Linked DNA regions of Neodiprion lecontei. Each later gene encodes a partner of the first gene's protein in a complex. Links are inferred from orthologs where the notes say so. Each region holds a gene or a part of one and is shown on either strand. Other genes may lie near its edges.

Region 1 (7,748 bases):
AGAATCGCTTCAACAGTTTCTGAAATGTATTGTAAATTCTGCTATTTCAAATAGCTGTAAATAGTCGCTTCATCATAGCTGTACACACACGTATATTCATATAAATGTGGCAGACTTTGATAAATGTCTTTTAAATTTTGATGAGTAACATTTTGATTTACGACATCAAAGTAGTCTGAATATGAACATGATACTTCATCATTGCAAGAAAAATTTTTATAAAGCGGGACGGTTTTGTCAGTCACGTACCCACTACAGTGTGATATATCAAAATGATAGTTGATATACCAACTTTTACACACATCGTACAAGGGATTTACGCTGATTCAATTATTCATCATCAACACACATCCGATACATTTATAAGGCGTGGAAAATATCCATTTATGAATTGGATGTGGTTATGTATGCGACGGTTCAATAAATGTGGCGAGTCTTTGCTTAAGCAATGAATTCACTTTCAAAACAGGGAGGGAAATTCACTGCTGACGGATGTCCGGCATTATTACGAATCAAGTACGGTAAATTACAGCAGTTTCAAAGAAGTTTATTACATAATTGTCCGTAATAGATAGAAAGCCACTTCCCCTCGTTTCCACCATCTCAACTTGGAAATTGCATGACCGGTGCATTTTTTTTCAAAAGACTTGACGATAATTAACGATACGCTGTATTTCAAGAGATGCTGTGACTCGTGAGGAGATCGGACATGCCATCCTTAATTATTTTCAGGCACTCCAGATCAGCGTTGATTGTAGAAATGAGTTGAGACATTCCTTGCTGTTCCATAGTTAAATACTGCAACGAAGGACAATACATATTAATTGATATTAGCGAATGTAAAGCAATGTAAGGATACACTTGTCTCGTACATCCTAAGCTGATACTGATCAGTTTTGTTAAAAACAAAAAATTAGTTTTAAATGTTGACCACAAAATTGACTCTGGTCTTGCAATTGTGATAACTTCATAATTAGGAAGAGTAAACTAAGTTTTGTACTAAAGATATGAAATATACTCACGGTTTTAATATCGTCTTGGGCAATAGGATCCATAGTATATCGTTCGTGGTTTTGAGAGTCCATATGCCGTCTCATTCTCAGTTGTGAAAGCATTTCACTGATTCTTCCCTTAAACTGTGTCGGAGCACTTATTTGCGAATGCATTGCTTCAAACCTATTTGTTAGCACTTCTTCTTCAGGTTGTAATGCTAACCCAACCTTGCGCGTTATTTCTTGACGAACCAGCACCTAGAAATTCATTTATGAAACGTATTATTACATTAAGTAAAGCAGTATGATGGTAAAAAAAATTTGACGAATCCAAATGAAATGGCCCAGTATACGGGGTAAGTAAAAAAAAATCGCACCAAATTTAGACGTGAATAAAATCCGAATGCATTGACTTTATTATGAAAATTTTCTTTTTTGCTTGAAATTAGGACAATAAACAATTTGTTTCGCGTTTGAAAATTTGAACTTCAAATCACAATTTAAGATGAAAATTAGGCTAAACATTCTTTAATAATAATTTTTTTTTATCCTCCCAGCGAATTTTGCAAAATCTGTTTTTCAAAATCGTGTATCTCAGCAAGGATGAAGATTTTCTAGATTTCCGAACACAAAACGAAAGGTTTATGTTTTTAATTTCGAGTAAAAAGAGTTTCGAAAATTGGTCGATGCGTTCGAAATTTATTCACGTTTTAACTCGGTCCGGTTTTTTTGGCCCACCCAGTGCGTAGAAGTAGAATGAAATAAAATTATCAAGATCCTCTTCACCTGTAAAACTCGGTGTTGCAGCTCGAGTAAATTTCGTCGATGTTCTTTCAATCTTGCTTGAGTTGCAGTGTGTTGTCTCTGTAAACTTTGAATTCTTTCTGCAGCCAAGTCTAGAAATGCTCTATGCTTGGCTGTTTCTTCTTCTTGGCATTTCAATCTATATTTAACTTGATTGAACCCAATCATTGGCACTGGAATATATTTCTCTGGGTTTGGATTATCTAATTGCGCTTGCTTCCATAATCTGGGATCAATAGACGACGGTGGGTTATCCAAATATTCCTTCAGTTGACTAGGGTCTAATTTAACCTGTGGAAAAATGTTTTCCACGCCCATTTGGGCCAGCTGTTGTTTTTGCATAGTCTGTGTAAAGAAACTAACTAACTCGTTTGCCGGAATTTTCCTAGACAATCCTGTCACACCTTTTTCAGATACGCAGATTGTCACGTGACTTTTATTGTCATCTGTCGATTTTATAGTATCAACAGTTAATGTTAAATTTGGTTTATTTCCGAGAATGGTGTTGAGTGATGTAATCAACGTCTGTTTTCCATCTTTTAATTCCTGTTCCTTTTTGTTGAAACAAATAACGACCAGTCCATCATTGTTATCTGCATCTGGCATACAGCTATAACCAATAGCTTTGAATCTACACAAAGGATTTTCTTGTGTCAAATCTATAGGAGGTGCCACCGACGAGTAGTAAGCTTTTCCAGTACCCCATAATGCTTGGATCAAGTTCCATCTTGCTATGGTATTATCACGTTCGTCATTAAAAAGTTGGCAGTTAAATACTGCATTATAAAGTGCTTCCGATATCGCATTCACAGATTGTTGCTGCGGTTGTTGCTGTTGCTGCTGTTGTTGCGGTTGGGTAAGAGTTGTTCCTAACCCAGTAAGACCAGAACCTGAAAAATAACGTCTTAGGTAAAATCATGTCTCTCATAGTGGTGAAGATATTTCAAGTACGGGCAATTAAAATATAATTATCTGTCCTTTCTCCTCTAGCGTTTGAATGCATTAAGATTGGATTAGTACAAGAGTTCCAGGGTGCTTGGAAAATATATTATTTCTAATATTTTTTCCAAATTCGGATTTCAGTTAACCTGTTCCAAAGCTGCTGAAGCCTGTTGTATTTATTGCAGCTGGCTTAGCACCAAATCCACCAAATCCTGTTGTGCCGAATCCTGTTGTTGTTGTGCCTGATGTGCTAAAGCCACCAAATAAGCTCGGTGCTGAAGATGTCGCCATGGTTGGGAACGAACCAAATCCACCGAAACCTGTTGAACTTGTAGTCGCAGTTGTCCCAAATCCACTGAATGCCGTAGATGAAGTTGCTGGCGTACCACCAAATCCTGCACCTGTCCCAAACCCGAAAGATGAACCTGGAGTGCCAAATGTTATCGTACTCGTGGCTGGTGTTCCAAATCCTCCGACTGTTGATGTACCAAAGCCACCGCTAGTTCCAAAGGCAGGTGCCTGTGTTGCAGGGGTACCAAATCCTCCAAGAGCTGGTGCTGATGTAGCCGGAGTGCCGAATCCAAACGATGGTGTACCAAAACCAGCTAAGATAATATAAATAAAATGAATTACTCTTCGAAGCAAACTTTTTTCAATTAAAAAACAAATTATTACTTGACTATATTTCTAAATTACAAGTGTGATAATTCTGCTGTCTCTTTTTACACATTATTCAATAGTTTGATGTGTTGGCGGGTGTGAGCGTATTGTATTATTTAATGGACTTGGTACAGAAATTAAATTCATAGTGAATAAATACCCCATTTCTTAAATCTTTCAAACTTGTCATGTAAGAATTTTAGCATTGTGCCCTAGTTGCAGATAATAAAATTATGTTCACTATTCGGAAATTGAATAGACCGGGTCTCATGTATATGCAAAAAGCAACTCATCTGAGGCAATGTAATATTCTGAAGTGTCAACCGCATCCTTGAACTTTTATTCCAGTGTATTATGAAAATTTCCGATTTACATCAGAGTTCAAAGATCAAATGTTCGCTATAAAGGCAATTGTACCAAGCCGTCAGATGTTTTCCCCAGAAATCATGGATGACGTGGTAATAAAAATCAGCGCTCGACAAAAGACAACCAGGTGTGTCTAACAATTTCAATATGTAGACAGATTTCTAGGGGAAATGTCAAAACGTGACCAAGTTTTTGATGTCAAGAAACATGAAATTAATTTTCTTCTGAAGTTCTATTTATCGAATTGTAATTCTGACTAGATTGATGAAGTATAATTCTTACACAATATTTGGTAAGACTGGTTTCCTATCTATTAAAATTATGTATCGCGAAAAATATAAAGTAGCACAAAAGACGAAGATTTGCCTACGATATAATGTTTCTTTCATCATTTCTACGTATCTCTGTGGTGGGAAAAACCGACCACGAACATCCGGTTAAATGTGACTTCAACAAGTTGTCGGAAGCTGATACTTTCCTTGTTCCAGCTTTGAGGGATTCTCGGCTGCTCAAGCATCAACAGGGTTTAATGACTATAAAGCTGTCAGTGAAGGTAAACGTAGTGTGACTATTTATTTTTCGCAAATCAAGATGAGCTTTTCCAAAAACGTAAAACACCAACGGCTGGTACGTATATCAATATTGTACTACTATTATCATGCTTTATAATCAACTAAGCTGATTCAAAATTTGGATACCATGTAGATTAACAATGTGTTTGTTGACTTTACAATACAATTAACATAAAATTACCTCAGTTTCTCATTCACCCATTGCAACGCAATAAGAATAATGGAAATACTTTACCATGCTTCCAATTCTAATCCAAAGCAACTAAATCATAACTCATACGATGAACACACCCATCCCTATCCACGCCAAGTGAGTACTAGTCCTGTTGACGAAGTTACGGAGTTTGAAAATGAACTGGGAACCACAGGGGAATCATTTGGAGTAATTTAAAGTTCCCTTTATACATATTCGATTACCGTCATTGTCAGAAATTCCGCACTCCTTGCTCATTGTAACTAACCAAAGTTGATGAAACACACATATATATACATAATAACTTGTGTGCAATACTGATGTGATGAAGATTTTTTGCTTTGTTCTCAGACTCAATATTACAATATTTGGTACTTTATTATTTTATTTCCAGGATACTATAGGCGATATGTCCACTATACTGCATGAACTATCTGAAAGCACCACGCCGATTGTTACTACTCAGACTACCACCACCATGCAATCCATTGCATCTGGTCAAAATGGATCTTCAGACGAATCGAGTCAAACGATATTGATAGTTTTGGGATTGCTCTTAGGAATTCTAGTGCTAGTATGCTGCGTTCTTGCCTGCATACTTGCCAGACTTAGGAGGAAAGGTTTTTGCACAGTGCAAGGTAGAAATCAAGAGACGTGCGACGAAGAGTGCCCAGGAGAAGATATGGATCTCGGACAATCAACAAAGAATTCAGAAGCATCAGTGAAACATATGAATTCTCGGTCGTCGGATCAATTGCTCAAGAAGTAACCTAACGCAATAGATGTTTCATACTCTGAGGATGATTTTATAGGTTGGAGATTATGACTGAGCTAGGATTTGGAATAAAAAATGTCATATTAACTAGAAAGAGCGGAGTGTCGTGGTCAATCTTTGGTAAAGCTTAAACTACCCAGACAATTCGATCGCTCTCTACTGCCTTAAACACATCGTAGTGCAATTCGTAAGAACGTAGATACTTTTTTCGTGCCGATCACATCAGCGAATTTAGAACTAATAAGTAAAATTTATTGTTATGAATTTGTAGTCATTTAGGTTATTGTTTGAAAATACACCAAGTTCTAGTTCATACTTACTCGGTTTCGCTGCTGTGGCTGTGCCTGAAGCTTGCGCCCCAAATCCAAAATTTGGTGTTGCTGAGGGGGTAGAAGTCCCAAATCCAGTACCAAAGGACATTTTGATAATTTGTTTATTTAAAGAATTAGTACAAATTAAGAAACATAACCCCAAATAACACTGGCTAATACACAGTCGGAAGTTCTATCATACAACACGCACACACGAAAGTGATATTCTATGTATTATTCGACCAGAAATAAACTCCCAGCTGTTAATTGGCCGTTCGATCAACTCTGTGATATGATTGGCTCGCAAAGCACGCTTGCGCTCTGTAATCGTTCGTCAGGTCTACGGCGTCGTTTTGTTATAATGAATATCCCCGAGCAATCGAACTGCTTACTCGTCAGTGACGTCACTTGCGCGCAATTTATTTGAATGATAGTAATCACGGTACTATACCTATATCATGTACAGATATTTGAAATTTGGATAAGATTGAACTATCAAACTCCGCTTTTACAGATTGATACCACTCTTGTATATGTTTATTTATGTATAACCAAGTATTTACACGCACCGTTGTCTGAAGACTTATAGTCTTCAGTCAACGCACGCACCTTGTACTACAATTATTAGACACTTTGTTAATAAATCATGACTTTTGTGCTTTTTTAAATTTGCGTTTTTCTCGACTAGTTACTAAATATATGACGAATTTATCTCACGTAATAGTAAGAATTATATTTTTTTGAAGCATCTTCCTATCGTTGGCTCTAATGATTTGAATTATGAATTGAAGAGTTACTCTCATTTCAATAGCATGATTTTACAGCAGGGAGGTTTTACAATATTTTCCATAATTAGAGAAGAATAACCACTTAATTTAATTCTAATGGAAAAAAATTTCTACTGTATTTGCGTAGTGTCCTATACATGAAATTTAATTTCAGGTTCTTGAAAGTAGACAAGGATATTTGTACATTTACTTTCTTTGTTTGCCATTATATGCTAATAAAATAATACTGACCCATCAAGCTCATAACTCGACTGTTGGACTTGTGTCACCAGGACCTGTGGAATTTACTAAAGTATGTCCGATTAAATAAAACGATTAAAAGATCCAATTAAATTATTTAAGGATGTATAGGCGTGTGAATCAAAATAGTGCTAGGTCAATGAAAATTATACAAATTGTTCTCACTTTTATTTTAAATGCCTAACTGTTTTCCATAAGAATCAGTGTAAGATCACGAAAAATTAAAAGTATAATAACTCCGGCATGATTTAGACAATAGCCTAAAATTTTAAACGGATATTCAAAATAAAAGTGAGAACAATTTGTACAAATTACGTCTTGCTTGATTTATAAATCGAAACATAACATGCACAATCGTTATTAGACAGTACCTCTCTCCTTATAGCGGAGGCTATAAGAAATATTGCGATTGCTGGAGAAAACGTCCTTATTTAATCTTTCTCCATCCATGGCTGGAACGTCACGTAATTATCCAGTTTTCCGAAAAAATTTTCTTGCACTCTTTGTTTGTCTTCCACTGTAGTTTCCTTCTTCTTTTATTTATATGGTTAATCTCCGTTCCCTTCTATAAATGGACTCGTGTCTGTGACAAATTTTCAATGATTCTATCAACGGCACCATAATGCTTATTGTGTAATTTGCGCAACCTAATGTTGGCAGAAAAATATAAGTTTAAGAAAAAATCGTAAGATACAGCACAGCATTATTGAATTATACTCGCTTTATTGACACATATTGTCTTATAAGAAAACGATCTGTTCGTCTAGTTCCGTGGGGTTGAAATATTCTTGTAGAATCTTTCCGAATACTTCTATTATAATTATATTGTTACCGAACGAAATAAACGTTCCAGTTATTTTTTGCGTACATCAGCAAATGAAGTAATTACCTCAGTTGTTTGCTCGAAATTGTACAGATTGCATTACAACAATAAAATGATATCGTAAAACAATATTTTCACAGAGTTTGTTATGTAACAGCCAACATTTATGTAATTCAATTTCATGTAGAAACACTCAATAAAAACTCCTATTTTCTATAACGTACATATACATGTATTAATATATATATTTTACTTTCTTCAACGTTTGATATTACTTATTTA
Region 2 (8,023 bases), about 300 kb from region 1:
CGCATCAAGTGTGGATGGAAGCTTGTAACGTGGAAGTTTCATTATCGCTTCTTGTTCCATCGTCACCTATTTGCACGCATCCTCCACTTGACGATCCATGTGTTATTGACTTGTGCAAGCCTGTCAAAGTTTCTGTTTCTCCCAAGCCAATCAAAAGAGGTATCTAAATGAATATGATATTTTGGACAATCAATAAACATATATGCTTTGCGCATAAAAGCATAATTATTATTTAAAGACCATAACAATAATTTCATAACATCTGACACTAAAATTAATACAAAATCTTATATCTATAGTGATTAAAAATATAGTCTTAACTTTCAACAATGTCGTACAAATATTTTACTACAAGACTTTCATACATGTTATAAAAAGAGACTTATCGGATCGACTTGTATATTGGGATAATCTTGATGAATCTTGATGTGGTCACAGTCGATTTCATTATCTCCAACTCTGGAACGAGCTTCCTCTGGAAAAGTAACCAATTGATTTCAAAACAAGTGAATTTATCAAATCATGTAACGATATTCAGATCATAGTATTCTGGGATTATTGTTTAATTTTGATCCAAGCTAACTATATTCTAAGGTATTTACCCTCAATTATGCCTCAATGCTATCAAATAAGTTTTAAGATATCAGCATTTTACATATTCGAAGTTGAATTGAGCGCGATATTCTTCTTGATACAAATCAGCACACTTGAGTGAATAAAATATGTTAATTTTTCGTATTGATATCTTTCTCAGAAACGCATAAAACATTTTAAGGATAATTTGCTTACCCTGAAAAGGGTGGTGGGGCTGCTGGTTCTTGTTGCTTCTGAGCTAAATTGCCAAAAGTTAATCCTCCTTCCTGAGTGGCAAGATTTTCAAAGGTACTACTTCCACTGCTTTCACCAAATACTTTCTGCATTGAACTGCTGCCGATACTACCGGAGTTAGCTCCTAATGGCGATGGCGTGCCAAACCCACCGAAAGCAGCTGAAACTCAGATATTTTTACTTGAATGGAATTGTTCACTGACAAAATATTTTTGACAAATATTCATCAACTAATTAGCAAATGCTTACTTGTAGGTTGTGTAGCACCTGAAAATGCAGTATTTGCAAATCCGCCGCCAAATATAGGTTTTGATGCTCCAAAAGTGGATCCAAATGCTGGCTTGGCACCAAAAGTTGCTGTTTGGCTAAATGCTGGTGCAGTAGCCGTCAGTGTTGGTGAAGTTGAGCCGATGTTAGTAGTAGGAGTAGGAATTACAGGTGCCCCTCCGAATATTGATTGATTTGACGGTGTAACAGTACCAAAGACTGATGAGGTAGAAGGAGTTGGAGCTGTACCACCAAAAATTGATGCAGTTTGGGGATTAGAAATAGCTCCACCAAACATTGATGGGCTCGTGGAAATTGTGGGACCACTTCCGAAAGCTGGTAGTGGTGTAGAATTAGCTGGAATACCACCAAACGTAAATGATTCAGCATCGGGAGGTCTGCCGAAAACGGAGGGTGTCGAAGAATTAACAGAGTCACCAGCAAATATTGGTGGTTTAATGGGACTGTTATTAGCTTTGCCAAAAATTGATGCCGGTGGACTGGTAGTTCCTCCCAAAGTAGGTGCACTTGAAAATTCAGTAGAATTACCTCCAAATATTGATGGAGTGTCGGAGGTGGTAGAAACATTACCAAAAACTGAAGCTGATGGTAAATTAGCGGAATTTTCAAATCCTGATGTAGCTGTGGATACAGCTGGTGTTTCACCAGAAACAGACTTCAGCGGGTTTGCAGCAGATCCACCAAAAATAGGTGCAGTTAGGCCAGTGGGGCTATTACCAAAAACTGGTAGCTTTAGCGCACCAGGTGTTGCACTTTCGCTGAACGAAGATATTATGTTACTACCCGCTGAGACCCCGCCAAACAGCGAAGACCCAGGAGGATTCCCAAAAATTGGATTTGCTGGCTTATCCTTCAAGATAGTTGAAGTTCCACCAAATATTGATCCAGGTGATGACGTCCCAACAGATCCAAAAAAGCCACCAGCCGCCACTGTTGTTGTTGATGTTACGTTTTTAATCGAAGTATTAGAAGTCTGTAAGTCCAACCCCATGACTGATAGATCCAACGACTGAGCTGTGCTTGATGTTGGGCTGGCTACTGATTTTGAGGCGAATGAAAAAGGCGTATTACTTGCAGGTTTAGTTGCAAATGAAAAACTCGCGATTTGTGACGTTGTTACGTTTACCGAAGTTGTAGTCGTTAATGCTCTTTGTGTGGTGACTGAACTATTTGATGTTTTCAGTGTAATGGGATAAGTCGACGCTTGGCTCGCTGGTGTTTGAACTGTTGACATAAAACTAACACTGGATTGTGGGATGGTTTGTATAGAAGTGGAAACTACTATTGGTGTAGTTGTTGAGGTAGATATTGTTGTAGATGTTGGCTGTGCCTCAGTTTTAGCAATAACAGAATTAAATGGAAGAGTGTCAATTTTTGAAAAAGGTTTATTAATAGCTGTGATTGTAGTTGGCATCAGTGCAGGAGGCAACAATGGCAATACCGATGATCTAGAAGCAGAAGATGTGAATGGAGATACTTCTGATATTGTCACAGATTTCATTCCACTGGGGATGCCAGTTATGGGTTTTTGAGGTGTATGAGGTGTAGGAGGTGTGCCAAATAGTGCAGCAGAAGTTGGCTTGCTTTGTACAGACTGTGCTGTTGATGGGGTTTGCGATGCTACTAATGTAGCAGCTATTCGTGCTTTGCCATCCACTTGTGGTACTTTGATCGACGGAAGAGAAATGGATGCTGTGGACTTATTCTGTGTGCTACTAGGTTTGACTCCAACTTGAGATGTTTTGATTGGTAGAGTGGAAGCAGGTGTTCCGATCAAGGCTGGTGCTTTATTCTGCAAATTAAGGTTTGGCTGAATGCCAACAGATCCAATGTTGGCGACAATTTGATCCAAAGATGCTAAGGGACTTTTTGCAGCTGGGATAGGTGGAGGTGCAGGTAGTGCATCTTCCCGCATCAGTTTTTCTATTAAGACATTCTTACGTCTCTGTACTTCTTTGGGTGGACTTTGCATTGCCAGAGAAGATATTGTTGCCTCCAAGCGATCCTGAATTTCTGAAGGGGTTGCTGCTTTAATTATCTTTATCGTGGTTTGGTTCAACAAATTCCTCAAAGTGCGTTGTTTCTCACAGGTAAAGCTGCAATTTCTCTGTGCAATTGCTTTACATTTGTACTCTATAGCACCACTAGGAGCTTTGTTATTGACGGATGAAGATAGAGACATATCGGCCAAGGATTTATTTAATGAAGAAGTAATATCTCTACGTGTAAGAGTTTTCCACTTCTTAACCTGAGCTTGAATCAAATTTTCCACTTTGGCAATAGATTGTGAATGCTGAAGCATGATTTGATGAACGAAATCAAGCCTCGGTACTTTCATTTTATTTTTTTCTTTATTTACATGCTCGAACCATTCGTAATCTAGGGCTCTTGCAGCTTGCTCCAATTGAGACTGAATATAATAGACAAGATTTTGCAATTCTTTCAGCTTATTATTATTTCCTCGATTTTGGGGATTACTTGAAGCTTTAGAAGAGCATTTAGATTTCGTTTCTTCCAGCCAGGCAAAAGTCTGCAATAACAAAGCTTTTAAGTAATTGATGTCACTTGTCAAACTAGTAGTTGTTTCCTGTAAATCTGTTAGGAAGCGTTGCATATTTTCAGATTTTTCAATAAGTTGCGTACGTTCGCCTGGCGAGCCGATATCTACGGACTGTGTTTCCCTACGACTACTCAGTTCTTTTTCAAAATCATTGCATACCTCCTCGTATGTCAAAACACATACGTTACTGTCTATGCTGACTTTTTCCGTCTCTTTTAGTTCCTTTCTGGGTACTAGTGATGTGTCTACTTTCGATGATACTTCAATTTTCTCAATAGGGGGTTTTGTTACAAACAATTCAGTTTGCGGTTGTGGAATAGAAACTTCTGAGGTCTTCGGAGATACGTTTGTGGTTACAGCTGATGTTGGTCGATCCATGATCGGCTCAATTTGTTTAGGTCGTGGAGTGCTGGTGACTCTGCCATCCAAATTAAATGATATTTCTGTAGGAGCAAGACTTGGGTGTGGTTCACTATACAATGGAAGAGTTTCAGTCGGAGGAGAGCAGACTGGTGGAATTCCTGGCATTAAATTTACCATATGAAAACTGCAGAGTTGCCCGGAAGTTCCAAATATATGAAGTATAGGTACAGGGTGGGGAAGCGTTGAGCCCTCTCCACCCCACGGTAGCTTGTTTACAGATGTTCTATCTACTGCTAGGCCAACAGGAAAGGTTTCATTAGTTCGCACAAGAGGTAGCTGAGCTCTTCCACTGTCAACTAACTGCCATTGCTGCCATGTTGTTCCATTATCTAGTGAGCCAAGAACAGCAATTTCACTACTGGTACTACTAGCAGCAATAATTAATCCCCATTCAGCAATATGTTCAAAATAGTATCGGGGCGGACTGCCCTCTTTTCCTTCAACATCGGGCACGCTATAAGTTATATCTTCATAACAAGTAAAGATGCCCTGAGATTCACCTTTGGGGGCATCTATAATGAGGACATTAATTCGTGAGTCTTGTGGGTCTAAATAGGCAGCGCAAAATTGGTAACTGCTGATCCATAAAAGAGCAATGACACTGCCGATGCTCGGATCAGGACCTGCAATGATTCTGGCTGCCTTTAAATCTGGTTTCAACTGTAGCAAACTTCCATTCTTGCTTCCGACTACTAATTGTTTTCCCTTGGGACTCCAAGCCACACAGAGCACATCTAACTTTTCTAGTTTTTCCAATATTGTCAGAACTGATGAATTTTTGTCAGATGATATATTAAAACTGCCTATAGAGTGATCACTTGTTACTGTACATAACATTCCAGAGATGCAAGGATTCCAACGAAGATCCAAAATATGGACATTATATGAGGACGATAATTTGATCTCTCGTAGGAGCTCCAATTGCTGTAAATATTCACATAGTTGTGAAATAGATAGATTGTTATTACAAGTTCGGACACAACAGTATCCTCAGTTCATATTTTGATTTTGTGGAGTAAATGAAATTATTTCTAGATTTTAAATCTACCTGTTGTACAACTGAAGCAGCATTGTAAATGTAAGCTGTGGGAGAATCAAAAACAACAGCTAAGTACGAGCAATTGCAATTAAATGCAAGGCAAGTAACTTTTGCTGGCATAACAAATTCCTTTCTCCATTCCTTGTCCAGACTGTGGCCACTTTTCAGGACTATGATTTTGTGGTCGCAAGCTGTGTAAATCAATCCACGTTTCCCATCTACTGCAATCAGGCTACAAGCTACAGGGATTGAGCTGAATCCATCTGATATTTTCCAATGTGTGGATTGTTTAAATTGAAATTCCTGCAAAAATGCATCATAACAGTTGTATACGCTACAGTAATAAATGTTAATTACTACACATGTACAATTAAAGTTGATAACTCTGAATTGCCATAATTTCAATGAATAGTTTATAGTGTAGCGTTACAATTAGAGTACACAATGATGGCAACTAATATTACATTTATGTTATCAATTGAAACTTTTGTTTATATTCATTTTATCAATCTAAGTTGAACTGGGAATTAAAAAACCTTGAGGTTATGATTGACGATTGAATTGTAGATTGTTAAATGGATATTTGAAAGACATGTATAGTAGAAAAAGCGTACCAGTACATCCTTAGGCTCCGGTGCCGCCTTCATTTTTTATATTATCATTAAATAAAGTTTTTGATTGTAACGTTATAGCGCCTTTGAGTAAAAATTGGACTAACCATTAACCAATCAATGAGGATGAAAACATCGAAAGTGGGATAGGAAGGGCAGGAGCTAGGTTGGCTGTGGAGCACGGTCTTATAGCGTTTTCCACTGGTTGCACTTGAGTGCGCACTGGCTCGAACAGGGGGCAGTCGTTCCGTGCATACGTCGCCCGGCATCGGGGCAAACCTTCTGAGTGGAACACGCCGTAAAACGTATAAAGGCAGACTGGATCATAATTTCTCCTAAATCAGAAATAATGTGACGTTACTTGACCGACTGCGCGACTGGCAGTTTTTCAAGTAAGTGATAATGAAGCCAATTGAACAAACGCAACGGTAATTTTTTGTTTGTAAATAAATGTCACAAATGTTAAACACGAGCATACAAGGGCAAAAAATATTGACAATTCCGCTGAAAAGATAAAAATTAATAAGCAGCAAGTCAAGTTGTCCCAATCTCCTGAAATATACCTAGCAGTTAACCTCTAGAAGCTGAAAAAATGTGTATCCATACTTCGATATCGGACATGCTGTGGATTACTCCTATGAAATTTAAAATTTTGGGAATCTCTCTATCTTTCGGCTCGAGCAAGCATCATCACTGCTAGACGAAGATGAAATTAGATCTAATAAAAGGGTTGCTGTCACAGCATCTACTTCGACTCTTTCACGATCTGCAGCCATAATTGCACTACTTTGACACAGACTCCCGATTTCAGTGCAATATTTTACGCGCTCAATGCTAAATTCACGCACCCGAGCTGTCAGTGGAACACGCTGGAAATACGAGTCTACCGCTAGCGCGCTCTCAGTTCACACTCAGTGCAACCAGTGGAAAACGCTATTACATACAGGTCTTGCAACGAACGTGGTGGGGGATGATCAGTTCAGGTCCGAAACAAAAGTACAACTTATGGCCACCAAGAGCGGCGCTACGAGTTATTCATAAGCTTATTATTATTATTTGACGGAACCCTAACCTATCTTTTTGATACTCATACACAAATAACCTTACGTTGTTATGTTATGAATAACTGACAGCGCTGCGTAGTGGCCAGTAGTGGCAAAAAAATTTGGACAATAACGCGGCTACCCCCACTACTCAAATTTCAGTTCGTTGCAAAAATCTGTATGTAAGACCGTGCTCTGCAGTCGCTGCAAGCAACGGACGGACCAGAAGCGTTGACTGAAGAATATAAAGACGGATACCCTTGGGTAACTTTTTGTAACCACTTTACGGCGGGCAAGTGGGCCCAGAGTGCGCCCTGAAAGCTTGAGATTGGCGTCCACTGCCAACCGCCTCCAATGACCATCACGACTACTGCCAACCACCCCCAATTACCACCGAGCACGTCCAAGCACCGTCAACCACCTTCGACCACCTGAGACCACCTTCGTCCTCCTCGACCACCTTGTCCCCCGACCACTGCCGCCCCCGCCTCGGCATCCTCATCGTCCACGACCTCTTCGACCACCGTCAATCACCACCAACCACCTCCAAACACCTCCTACCACCTCTACCCACCTCCTACCATCTCCGTTCACCGCCAACCACCACCTAACACCTCCTACCACCTCCTGTCACCTCGTACCGCCCCCTGCCTCCGTCGACCATCTCCGACCACGTTCTACCACCCCCTACCACCCCCTGCCAACGCCTAGCAACTCCTACCAGTTCCAAACACCTCCAACCACGACCGACCACTTCCGACCACCTTCGTCCTCCTCGACCACTTGCTCATACATATATTCCATGGCATTGATATTCATAATTATTCTAAGAACTATTTAGCTGTTTTAGCTAGTCGCAAGTAAAGTATCTACGTTGGGTAGAGAAGCAGAATTGTTTTTCGGAAAGTGTTTGTATGGAAAAAAATTCAGAGTAACTGTAATACATCACGGATGCGCTAATTTCGATCGAGATGAAATGGATGCTCCGTATATGAGACAGTATTTAATGCAGTATCCTGATTTGAAGATCTGAAAAGGTGACTTGTAGCATTTTGTTTCTTTTTTTGTGACAGGGAGAGAAAGAACGAAGCTTTTTCAAACTACGAGTGTATTTTAACACGCATTTGAAACGTACGAGCAAAAATTTTTATCATCCGACTGTCGCAGAACGGCAGCGTTATTAGCTGACCCGTTAACTCAAGAATATATCTTTAGTCAACGGCTGACCATC
Region 3 (7,514 bases), on another chromosome or scaffold:
GCCTTGATCAGCTTGTTTTTACTCGCCCGTTCGCGGCCAGCGGCAGTGGTCGATGCAGGCTGGCTCATCGCTGCTTTTTCGCGCGAGCTTTGACCGCCGGGTGGCCCGTAAAACGTTCGATAATTTAATCGACTACTCAATTCGAAGAATCTACGCCTACTTTTGTATACGCTCCAGGAGAATGATTCCAGAGGGATAATCGCCCGGCGATACAACCGAACTGCGTTACAGCCTTCCAAGTTTCAACTGACTAATCGAACACTCGAGTTCCGCGGAGCTCAACACCTCCGACAACGAACGAGCGCCATTACGCGTGCTCGTTACACGTCCGTTTGCTCGGCGACGCCGCAGCTCTACTACGATCGCAGCCTTCAACCAGGAGCTCGAAAGGTCGCGCGGCGATCGCTCGATAAAGTCGCACTCTGCACGCACCGACGCTGCAGCGGCTGCAGCCAAATTTTCGACTGCGCGCGGCGACCCGAGCTCGCTAACAATAAAAGCAATTAGTTTAAACGATCGCAATGTCTCTCATAAACTCGCTCCCTCGTCGGCTAACTGCAAGGGCATGAATCTTTCAACCAGCTTTTGATTACACCCGTGTATTATAGTTAATGTTTTGTTATCTTTTCACAGAGTTCATTACACCTCGTAAGCGAGTTTCGAGTAGATTCAGAGGTTCAGGGCCGGTTGTAATGTGATTGGTCAATTCTAATCAGAATCGTTGTTTCCGACTAATCTTTCGAGTTGGTTGAAGCTATGATTGGAAACTTCGGTCAATGTTAGAAATAATGTGACTTGTACACTTGAAAATCAATAGATAATACAGAATCAGATGTATCTTTACAACTCCATAAGGATTTCTACTGCGGCTTTGTCAAATTTTATACTACATTGTAAATCACGCAGTCTTACCACATTGGTTATCTTAATTGACCTGACAAGGCATAATATTGAAATTAACAAGGTGACATACGTATTGCATACACATGAACAAGAATAAGACGAGTCATGATTGGAATATGGCTTCCATAATATTGCTTTATTCGTTTAGAGTGAATTCCGAACTTTGAAAGAACTTTTAAATGCCGGGTAGAAACCTGCATAAGACAGATTAAGCAATATTCAGTGTAACTGCTACTTGCAGCACTATTTCTACGATTGTAAAGATTTTATAACTACGACGAATCAATTGATTAAATCGCGTAAACATGTGCAGATCATATGCACACAGCCTGATGCTTATTGTTAGTTTGAACGTCTTCAGAATAAGAAATTAGTTAGCAATTACTACACATCTTAAAGTTTGGACCAGTAAGAAATGTCTGACAATGATTAGTGGTTTAATCTTTTTTTTTTCGACAGCGTGAGTGAAAATCTTATGAATTATTATCGTTCCACGTCCCCACAAATAATCAACTCACTTCACAGCATTCAATTATAGGTCTATAACTGTAAGGGTTAGGAATGTTATCAAATGTCTGATAATCGACGATTTAGTTACTCACATGAATAAAACTTGGTTGATGTAAGCTGGGGTAAATTTCTAACAACTTGTGGCAATCGGCGGCCGAACAGAAGTCGTGTTACAGCTGAGGTGGTAGCCATTTTCCAGTATATCAGTCAGTCGCTAGCGCACGGGCATGCAAAGAGCGAATGAGCTGATACCGAGCCGGCTCAGAGTTCTGATTGTATTAGAATTACCGTTACGTAAAGAGCTATCACGGCTCTTACGAAACTCTATACTGACTGATAAGAACGCACCAATTGCGATACTCGGCTATTATACTCGATACTATCGCAAAACTGACAAACTACAAACCATTGTTACTGTTGTTGACGAACTTTATTGCGTTCTTGTCATCTTATTTAAATCAGATGCGATACACTCATTCAAGGCCTTATGTCATCCGTCGGTAAAACAGTTATAAACTTTCAATTTGTCCGATAAATCATAGATGTCAGTGAAACCGGAATGGTTACCTTCCTGCTTTGAACGTTAAAATTCGTTTTGAGTTGTGAAAAGATGATCGTGAGTAACAATTAGGTTACCGATTTCGTTGATGAATTTATGTACTAAATTCAAAAACAACCGGTGAACTAAAGCTCACGTTCAGTCATGGCAGAAGTCAGCAACGCTCAAATAATTGTAAGCACCTCAATATACTTATTGGCCCATGCGGACTTACACCGGGTTTTGTTCACGGAACAATCCTGATATATATTGCTATTTTGTCAAATATATTACTTACAGGCTATACCAGACGACGTTTGCAGAAGAGCAGGCCTGGCTGCGACCTGGATCGGCCAAAATAAAATCGGAGTTCACGCGTACAAGCATATTAATGCACACTCGAAAGGTGAGGTTACGTTTTTTAGCGGGTACCGCACAGAAACTGTTTTCTGCAACATCGATGACTCAGATGTATACGGTTTATTTTTTGTCTATAGTGAAAATGCTAATTAATATTTCCATCGGCTCGTTTGCAGATGTTCCAAGCAGTCTTGCACCCTGTGAGGTTAAAGTTCATTGCTTACGACAAGAAGTGATTTTGTTCGAGCCGGCGCTTCGCAAACTAGTCAATGAGAGCAATGGAGTGTTTCTTGCGATACAGAAGATTAAAAATTCCACTGAAGACCTTAGACCTGAGCTTTTGAAGTACAGCAAACACTACAGGTCCATATTAAGAGCCTGTGTAGAAAATCTGCAAGATGTTGTTGAAAAGTCAACGCCAGACAAAAAACCGACTTTTGAAAATTACTTGACTATTTTTTACAATGTCGAGTGTGTTTGGCACCTGACAGAGATCCTTTATGTTAATGTCGTCCCAGGTATTGCTAATAGCGCAGTCAAAATTAATTCAAACTTTTTTTATTTTCCAATTAATATTTATGACATAACTACATACATGCCCTAATTTCTTTGTAGGAGATGTGATACTTCCACAGCTGTTGGAGTGGGTGAGATTTCACTTTCCATCTAGAGAATTAATGGCCTCTAAAATACTTGCAAAGAAAAGTCTTGCTGCCGATTTGGATAATGTACAGTACTGGGAAGCAGCGATAGGATGCGCTTTGCACGGTAAACTCGATACCGTTCGTTCATTGTTAGCTATGCACAGCAAGGCAGATAATCCTGCTTTTGGCACTGCTGAAAATGCTATAAGGACAATGCCTGTTTACAATGTATATGGGGGATATTCTGTAAACGAATTTAACATGAGATGGAAGCATTGGCAATTTGACCTCTCTTCGCAAATTGAAAGCAAAACATTTTCTACAGACCGAAATTTAGAGTTACTAATGAGGGTGAGATTTCAATTTGTCTCCGGCTGGAAGCACAGATAAGAACATTAGTTTTTATTTTTGTGTTTTTTTTTATCAACAGCTTATCGTTGGCGAAGAACTTGTTCTTTGGGAGTTTTCAAAATACACGGAAGCATGGTATGAGTTATTGGCTGCACGTTTATTTTACTCTGCGCCCTGTAGCAAACAGCCAGAACTTGCTAGACATGCAAATCATATTGCAGAAAAGTGGCGTGCAGGCAGGTATTTGGATCATGTAATCTTAGCTCTAATGGAAAGTGATTTGCATCAAGTAATCAAGGAAATTCAGCATATGAGCGACAATGGATGGTTTGCAGCACATCTGATCAACTTGTTGTACAACTGTGGAAGGCTAGACATCATAGACAAGCATCAAATAAAGTAAGTTTGACTTGATTTCTTATGGGATTACATTTATTTTCCAGGATACTTGTATTTGGTGATTTTCATACAAGGTACGTGAAATCCAATGGTAAAATAAAATTACGTTTTTTCAGTGTTACCTCACAGCTTCATGAATCATTGATATTAGACTATGCCAGTACTTTGATGGGTCATCATTCACTGTGGCAGTGTGGCGCTAGCTACTTTGAACACTGTCCTGCTCAAGGATTAACTAGATTGCAGGCATTGTTAGAGTCCATTCCACTGGGTAGTGAAGCACGAGTGAATAAAATTATCGAGATTGCTCGTCAAAAGCATATGACCAATGTTGGTACGTATAAAGAAAATAAACTCGCAATTTTCGCATTATTTCAGACCTCAATAAATTGAATAATCTTTCATGATATAATTTTAGTAACCAGCGTTTCCAAAATACAAGGAATGAAGTGTATTAGACAAGGACGGCTAGGAAATGCACTTGCCTGGGCATTAAAGGCACAAGATGGTGCGTTTGCTACTTTTATAGCGGACCAATTTCTAAAAAACTATGCCAAACACGGAGAACTCGAGTGTCAAGACCTTCTAGAGAATTTAGGAAGCTGTATGCTGATCAGCGACAGACTTACGTTTCTTGGTTTGTATAGTACTGTACAACAGTTGATTGTCTATCAAAGTTTTCGAAAACTACATCGAAAGCCAAATATCAAAATTTCGTCCTGTTTCAGGAAAGTATTGTGAATTTCATCAAACGTATGGACTAGGTGAATTTAAAGATGCTGCTGCCTTGCTGGTCTCGTTACTGGTCTCTAATTTAACTCCGAAATAGTAAGTGACTCAACTTGACTAATTTCTAATCCCCCTAACGGAAAAGTGTTTATGTGATTAATAAATTTGCAAATCGTTTCAGCTTCTGGTCGATTCTTCTAACGGATGCAATTCCGCTTCTGGAAGCAGAGGATGCTGTACTCTCATCTAAGGATACTTTCGAACTACTACAAACTGTTGAAGAACACGGCAACGATCCGAAATTTCAAGACAAAATCGACCTTTTCCGACTAGCAGCGGCAAGAAACTTGGCACGAGCGTTGAATATAGAAGGCTGCTTAGGGGATCATTGATATATATTCGTAACGACAAATCGAAAATGAAACCTGACAACTTATGTCGAAAACTCGGTTCTAAATAAATTTTATCATTAAATTCGGTCTGAGTAGTCAGATATTCATTTGTTGAAAGCAGGTATTTGACTCTTTAAACAAAGGTCAAAGGAAAACAATATCGGATATTTGCCGTCTATACAGCTGAGAGCTCAATCACTGCCATTTTTGAGATAAGCCTCAATAAATGCACGTGCGAAATAGGTACTCTCCCTGGATGTTCCAGTATTTTAGTTCATTTGTAAGATATAGTTTTGTAACATTATTTCATCGAATTTTAATTAAAGAAATGTTAAAAATGATACCATTCCCTGTCTGTATATCCTCATGCACCGTTATGTTGTGTGGATGTGTATTCAGTAGCTTGGCTGAGGTCAACCGCATCATAATTAATCCAAAATTAATGTAAATTCACAAAAAGCAACTAGTACGTGAAGCTGTACTATACAAGGTTATTTTGGTTAGATGTACGAAGTAACCGTATGAAGCTCTGAAGTTTGCTCTTACGTAAAAAACACGTTTAACTCAAACGAAAGTTTTCTGCAACTATATTCAGCGAAGTATTAATTACTTACTTATTTTTTTTTGAATTTGAATTATTTAATACGTAATTTATACCAGATATATGGTTTCATTTTTCCGGCGCAAGGTGGCCGATCGGGAAAGTGACATCATTGGTTAAAAAACTGCAATGTGGCGCCATCGTGGCTCCGTGAACGAAGACTTTTTAAGTAGTTGCACGACATGCTGCAAATTTGTGTAATCACCTGATGTGTACCTAGCAACAAACTTCATGTGCAGTGACAGCCTCCAATCCGACAACATGAAATAATTCTGCCAACTTTCTGTTAACTTTCGATAATTCTTGTGAGTGTTTACTTTTTCGTTATAGAGAAGCTTATGTATTACAAAATTTTAACAACATATAATAATGACAGGTGAACACTTGTTTATTTTTACACCGTTTTGTATTTCATGAATAGGTGATCATTGGCAGCCCTACAATATGTTTATTTATAGAAATAGGCATAGATATGAATATGTGAAATAATGTTGATGTAAGTTTAGACATTTCACGAAAATTAATAACTTTGATTACTGGTTTGCAACATGTTATATCAGTGATGGTAGTAGTCTCATTCAATAATAAAAATTTTACAATGACCACAATACCTGATGTACATATTTTCGATATCAATTTATTTCCTAGTGTTCTCGATTAACAAATTCCGTAAGTAGTATTTTAATGTGTGTGGAGACCAACGAGTGGACCAAACTCTGCCATAAAAATGCAGGTATAAAAACTACATGATGTAACTTTTCACTGACGTTTCAAATATTCATTCCACAAGATATCACCTTTCTTATCGGTCACGTATTGTACTGTAGGAAGTGGTGTAATGACATCACACACAATGCTAACTATACTTGAAAGAAATGTTTACATCATAACACGATACTCGTAAAGAATTCGAATAATAATAAAAACAATCAACCATATCAAATTGATCACTGATATAAGTAAAAAAAATTTTCACCGACATTTTTGTGTTTCATTACAGACATAACAATTGAAATTTCAAATTAAATTGAAAAGTATATCTGACGCAAACTCCAGTGGGGATGACAACTTACAGAGCTCTTTCATCATTTAGCGATTCCTGTTAAGATAGTAATGAGTGTGCCCTCAATGGTTTTTTACCGAAGGCTCTTTGGATTTAAATATTGGAAAATATTTGGCATAGGCGTTCGCATATTAGGAAATTCTACTGCTGTTGGGAATTGAAAAAGTGTTTAATCAAAGAAAAACGTGTTTCACAATAAATTAAGAATAATAAAAATTAATAAGCACCAAACTCGTCAGAGTTACTGACATCCAATATGACGTCGGCAACATCGACTACTTCAACAATGCCCATACTGGCAAAGGAAAGTTTTCCTACTTCTGCAATGGACTATGCTAGCATCAGGGGAAAGGTATTTTACCTTGTATAAAGAAAATGTTCAAATTCAAGATATCTTGATGTCGTACAGAGTTAATTTTGCTCAAACTTGCAGGATGTCCTTGTTAGTCCAACAGAGGATCAGTACGAATTGCTACTGAGACGACTAAGAGAAAGAATTCAGGATGGCGGAAGTGAGACGATATTTGACATCGGTGTTGGGGAAGGTGCGTCTTAGAAAATTTCTGTTTACTGCTTCCTTTACTTTCATAGAGGTCTTCATAAATACTCTCAGGCCATTTTTAAAAAGAAAATATGGTTGTCGGTAGTAAGAATACTAGAAACATTGTTAGTGCGCCCCGAAAAACATCTCTTCTTTCTCTGAACTATATACTGTTTTTCCGAGTAGATGGTTCTGAGAATGGTCTGAAAGAGGATGAGTACGATGCATCTGTAGCCACTCTGCAGTCTCTGGCAGCAACTTTGGAAGCAGACTGTGTTCTGCTGAGGCAACGAAAAGTGGATCTGGGACTCATAGGACAATATTTGGTCAGAAGACGCTTAGACCAACAAGATTTTCTTGAAATAAGGTATAAAAACAGTTGCCTCACTTCTCCTCATTTAAAATCATTCTTATGTAATGCCAACAGAGTTCCTGTCATTTTGCAGTAAATCAAACTTATTTCTCTGTCGATTTCTAAATGCT
Region 4 (4,548 bases), on another chromosome or scaffold:
TAACTCTTATTTATACGATCAATTATCACGATAAAACTGACCCTTTATTATGCCCTATTATACAAACGACAGACAAATACTTTCGTCAATTTTCTTACGTTATTACGTAAAGAATTTCTGTATTGCCTACATTGCCATGCAGTACACACGCGTTTGAGTCTAGTGTCAGATTCAAATATACTTTTATGACGCCTTTATGCATCGAAGAAAATTTTTAATCTTCTCTATTTGAATTGTTAAGTAACAAAAAAATATAAAAAACTTGACAGATTATTTTATACCAGTTAAAGTAATCCTCCCCCTTTCGAGACTTGTCTTTTAAATTATCTTCACGATTGCGAAAAAATATGCTTAAGCTCGAAGTCAGTTACATAATTTGAATTTTCGAACGTGTACTCTTCACGAATATATATTGATAGTATTCTAAAATTCGTATTATCATACCATTAGCTTTTATTTCATTGGCAAATGGTCTGACGCATCTTCTGACGTTGGACAAGAGAGAAACAATAGAAATGCGTACTTGTATAACAAGAATATTTAATTCATACCTACAATTACGGGTTTCGTATAAAAGGTATGTATACACAACAGCGGTTTCCTTAACGATATTAATTATAGTATCGTAATCCACTTCAAAATTCACAGAATTTGATTATCGTATTTTTATTCAATTTGAATTCAACGATGACAGTTGCGGGAACGGATTTTGTTTTGAAATGACCAATTTTTTGTGCTGATGAGAAATGTAACCCCTGATTTTACCCTCGTAAATTAAATTGGCTACAAGGCATTCCGTTTCGTCCATATCTACATCGTCAACACCGTGCATTTCAAGAGCAGCCAAAAGACTGGCTACGGGTATTTGATGGGTATTTAAAACGAGATAAACCTTTTTGAACAAATTTCTATACGTAATGAGCTTCAGCTTTTCAACTATTAAGTAAATCCCAGCACTAATAAAGAAGATCTCATGTTTGTTCATCACTTCCTCCAAGCTGCGTAGGTTTCCTCGTTTAACAGCTTCGACCAACTCCCAAAATTCCAATAGATTGTACTTTTCTAACAATGATTTTTTTGGCATATAGCCCAGCAGCATTTTGACGGGAACTAAATACGTCAGAATTAAACGTTTGTTCTTTGCTGATTCTTTGTGGCAACGGACAAAAGCGTAGGTCAGATATTCGTCCGCTGTAACACAATTTAATAACAGGCATTAAATAAATCCACTCTTTAATTTCATTCTAAAAACATCGTTACCAGTTAGATAAAATTAACATCATCTGTATTATACATTTTCAACATTTTTTGATTTAGAAAAGCATAAGTGAAACATTTTTTAATGCTGAGTAATTTAAAAAAAATGAACAATAAGCTACATTTCCAGTTTAAAAGTGACTGTCAGTGGAAAGGCCTGCAACTGACTATTGACGCTTACCAGCTGTGTAATCACTATCGAAAATGGCTTTGCGTCCCATAAAAAATTTATACGTAATTTTTTGCGCGAGCGCGAACTGATCCTTAAGACCGGACGATTCAATGATCCTGATTAGAGGTTTGCATAAATCGAGTTTGTTTATGCGAAAATAGACCTTCCACAGTTGGTTAACCAATGCGAGCATTCCCCATCTTTTCGTGTCATCTTCAGAGTTCCTGTTGTCAGCTGCACAAACTCGAAAACAGCTCATTAGGCACTCAGCACATTTTTCAAGCACCTCACCGGACTTTTGATTTTTACCAAACTTGGATGCTTCAGCTTTAAGGGCTAGACGCCTGAGATCTAAGCACATGGAATTCATTACTGGCAACATCCAATTCTCGTCTTTTTGTAACTGGAGTATCTTTGCCAGTGACTGAATAGCTGCACTCTGATGAGCATACGACGTTAATGCATCGTCTTTATTTAATGACGATATGACCCTGGAAAATGTTTATCAAAAATTTAATTATTTTTGCTTAATAATATCTCTGAAAAATATTCTACTTACTTTATATGGTGTAAAACCAGGTCGTCAAAGGGTGCTGATAAGTGTTCCATTGCTTTTGTCATTGCAGCATCGCTTCCAAGTTGAGGATTTGTCGCATGATTATGACTAAGCGACAGCAGATCCTGGATTAAATAACATCAGGTATGAATCAGGAAAATCTTCGAATGCATAGTGACGATTATGGGAAAATTACAAATGTACTTACAGCCAGAACGTCACCGTCCTGATTCAACCAAGCGCGCCGAAGCTGTAAATAGAGAAATTATAACCTCACATCTTTCAGTTGATATTAACCAGTGATTGGATGGGCGGTTGAACAATTTTTTTACCTGCATTATGTATGAATCCATGATAGATTTTTATATTCGGTAACCAGGTTAATAAAGAACTGCCAATCACATCTGTTGAAAGTTGTTTTCTCGCGAAATTCCAGATATAAATACGTTCTGTCTATACCGTGTTGACAGATTACAATTCACAGTTTATCAAGTTTATTTTTTAGGTTATGGAATGGTTCTGAATATCAATCCATAGTCGTGTTCTTTAGTACCGGTATAGCCTGTTAAAACATGCCGACGGTGAGACGTATTGTCGGTAACATTATTATCGATCCGAATCCCATCTATGATGTTGATATTTCAAGAAGAGATAGTTGGCGATTCGTGTCTCATACCAAATTTCTTTTAAAACATATTCTATTACATCCAAGATTGTTAGTGGATCGTGAAAACGTACGTGAAAAACTAGGGTGGAAAATCGAAAAACTTCCATAACCTTCCGTTCGTGGTTTTCAAATCTACACATGCCGCTACAATATCTGATTGCGTTGTGCGCAAATGGCGTGCGCAGCTTTGCATTTTAGTTCCTAACCAATAGGAATGCCAATAAAATAGGTAATTCGCATGCAGCGTGCACTTGGTGGCGTTGGTTCCCTGCTTCACCGGCATTCCTATTGGCCAAGAACTTGGCACCGTAACAACTCAGCCTATGGTTATATTCCCTTCCCATTCTACGGGCATCGGATTAGGTTAGGTTAGGTGAGGTTTGAATTCTGAACGGTTGCAGCTGGTGTAAATTACATATATATTGTATAAATGAGCAGATCAGTAGGAATGGTTTAATCAACGAGAAGAACAATGTCAGTACAAAATATGACAATGAATCTATCGAACAATGCTCGATGTTACACATCAAGTGAGTATAACGTATTCAATACTAGAATATATTTTTTAAACGTAAAATAATCGAACTAGTTCACCGACGTTAATCTGTTTTGTTTCCTCTCATTGAGCGTCGGAAATAATTATGGAACCTTTTTCAGAATCCAGCGGCAAAAAATATCCAATATTTAGTATCCGTGACCTTGTGCCAGGTCACACTGGACCGGAAACATCTGAAGCTGCTATGGCTCAAATAGCCAAACCTCGATCGGTGGGTTTAAAATTCAGGAAATTTTAAATGTTAACAGAATCCATTTTTATAAAGTCAATTTTGCTGAAATATCCAGAGTAAGAGTTAATAATATACAATTTTTTACTTTCAAAGCTGACTATCAAATAGATGCGTAGGTTATAGATTTTCCATGTTTGTTTTTGTTCTTATTTTCTGTCACGTTCAAGTATGTTTTCAATTTCATGTTATGGTGTAGATAATGACGAGAAATAATTGAATAGATGGTGTTTATAGTTCGAATTCTATATTTGGACTGTCTGCTATATACATTCCAGAGTCCCATCGACCTTTGACTTGCGGCTCACTTACACTTTGCGAATGCTCTAGACACACTCTTATACATGTACACTACAAATGTAATATTAACAGAATTGACTGTCGAGAGTTAATAGTTACAACTGTATATTTTGTTATTAATACACAGGAGAGAAAATGCCAACCAGTGAGAATATCTATGGCTTATTTCAATGATCCATCGGACCGCAGAAATACTGGATCAAGTCGCAAAACTCCTGGTCAGTATTGCTCGATAGAACGTTTCATATCTAGCTGGTACAGATAAATAAATATTCAATGCAGAGAAGTTTGTTCAGTTTTTAAAATTTCTTTTCAACTTGCATACATGGATTCTTGGAGGTCTCATTTTTTTCCTTTTCCTTTTATAAAAATTGTAGCTTACCTTACATTCTTGTACCGTACCAAATGACTAAGACTGGTAATGGTAACAAGTTTCCTTACTTCTGCAGGTCGACCATTGCCGCAACCAATTCGTAATATTCATAAGCTGTTTGAATCACCCAAAAACAATGCCAGAAAGAGACTCGATAGTTTATACGATTCTTCGAAACGAAATGAAAATTTAAATCATTTAAAAAGAAAAAGTCGACTTCTGATTGGTAACAAAATTGTGCCAAGGTTACCTGATAGCATCGCAGCACGTGAAGCAGAGCCCACTCGAAAACCGAGCACAGTTAATCCTAACGGAAATTTGAGATGCAGCAGACTATTACCACCGGGATCCATAACGAGTTCTTTTATTAATAAGCGAAATTCAACGGCAGTAAGATCTTCGATTTATAAACCTGTAAACCATGTCCTTGTTGATCAG

What was found.
Region 2: nuclear pore complex protein Nup54 (region 1) and nuclear pore complex protein Nup214 share a complex: the UniProt entries of both Drosophila melanogaster proteins name them as parts of the nuclear pore complex. The link is inferred for Neodiprion lecontei from reciprocal best matches to the Drosophila melanogaster genes Nup54 and Nup214.
Region 3: nuclear pore complex protein Nup54 (region 1) and nuclear pore complex protein Nup85 share a complex: the UniProt entries of both Drosophila melanogaster proteins name them as parts of the nuclear pore complex. The link is inferred for Neodiprion lecontei from reciprocal best matches to the Drosophila melanogaster genes Nup54 and Nup75.
Region 4: nuclear pore complex protein Nup54 (region 1) and PCI domain-containing protein 2 share a complex: the UniProt entries of both Drosophila melanogaster proteins name them as parts of the nuclear pore complex. The link is inferred for Neodiprion lecontei from reciprocal best matches to the Drosophila melanogaster genes Nup54 and PCID2.

The regions. Positions count from the first base shown.
Region 1 is NC_060262.1:32,774,686-32,782,433, forward strand, and holds nuclear pore complex protein Nup54, read right to left. Parts: upstream 5,935-7,748; 5' UTR 5,725-5,934; coding exon 5,625-5,724; exon of another isoform or gene 5,299-5,624; coding exon of another isoform or gene 4,924-5,298; intron 4,392-4,923; coding exon of another isoform or gene 4,356-4,391; exon of another isoform or gene 4,235-4,355; intron 3,344-4,234; coding exon 2,885-3,343; intron 2,687-2,884; coding exon 1,779-2,686; intron 1,251-1,778; coding exon 1,023-1,250; intron 799-1,022; coding exon 676-798; 3' UTR 527-675; downstream 1-526. Other genes in the region: uncharacterized protein LOC107226633, read left to right, coding at 4,356-4,391, 4,924-5,298. UniProt on the Drosophila melanogaster protein: Component of the nuclear pore complex (NPC), a complex required for the trafficking across the nuclear envelope. Essential for the nuclear import of nuclear localization signal (NLS)-containing proteins in an importin alpha/importin beta-dependent manner.
Region 2 is NC_060262.1:33,074,763-33,082,785, forward strand, and holds nuclear pore complex protein Nup214, read right to left. Parts: upstream 6,019-8,023; coding exon 5,857-6,018; exon of another isoform or gene 5,786-5,856; coding exon of another isoform or gene 5,753-5,785; intron 5,442-5,752; coding exon 5,148-5,441; intron 5,024-5,147; coding exon 1,078-5,023; intron 989-1,077; coding exon 790-988; intron 735-789; exon of another isoform or gene 476-734; coding exon 448-475; 3' UTR 339-447; downstream 1-338. Other genes in the region: integrator complex subunit 4, read left to right, coding at 1-167. UniProt on the Drosophila melanogaster protein: Part of the nuclear pore complex. Serves as a docking site in the receptor-mediated import of substrates across the nuclear pore complex including emb, RanGAP and phosphorylated Mad. Protects mbo/Nup88 from proteasomal degradation at the nuclear pore.
Region 3 is NC_060264.1:6,092,038-6,099,551, forward strand, and holds nuclear pore complex protein Nup85, read left to right. Parts: upstream 1-1,906; 5' UTR 1,907-2,116; coding exon 2,117-2,146; intron 2,147-2,251; coding exon 2,252-2,357; intron 2,358-2,487; coding exon 2,488-2,829; intron 2,830-2,926; coding exon 2,927-3,306; intron 3,307-3,385; coding exon 3,386-3,705; intron 3,706-3,821; coding exon 3,822-4,039; intron 4,040-4,123; coding exon 4,124-4,351; intron 4,352-4,433; coding exon 4,434-4,533; intron 4,534-4,615; coding exon 4,616-4,826; 3' UTR 4,827-5,372; intron 5,373-5,582; exon of another isoform or gene 5,583-5,803; intron 5,804-5,847; exon of another isoform or gene 5,848-6,160; intron 6,161-6,427; exon of another isoform or gene 6,428-6,746; coding exon of another isoform or gene 6,747-6,842; intron 6,843-6,923; downstream 6,924-7,514. Other genes in the region: uncharacterized protein LOC107225458, read right to left, coding at 1-68; GTP-binding protein 1, read left to right, coding at 6,747-6,842, 6,924-7,035, 7,218-7,398. UniProt on the Drosophila melanogaster protein: Component of the nuclear pore complex (NPC) that seems to be required for NPC assembly and maintenance. Required for nuclear import of phosphorylated Mad via importin msk.
Region 4 is NC_060264.1:4,179,574-4,184,121, forward strand, and holds PCI domain-containing protein 2, read right to left. Parts: upstream 2,774-4,548; 5' UTR 2,339-2,773; coding exon 2,318-2,338; intron 2,236-2,317; coding exon 2,194-2,235; intron 2,111-2,193; coding exon 1,989-2,110; intron 1,921-1,988; coding exon 1,439-1,920; intron 1,192-1,438; coding exon 671-1,191; 3' UTR 524-670; downstream 1-523. Other genes in the region: uncharacterized protein LOC107227510, read left to right, coding at 3,125-3,182, 3,310-3,419, 3,865-3,955, 4,187-4,548. UniProt on the Drosophila melanogaster protein: Required for the export of nuclear mRNAs and involved in mRNA trafficking in the cytoplasm.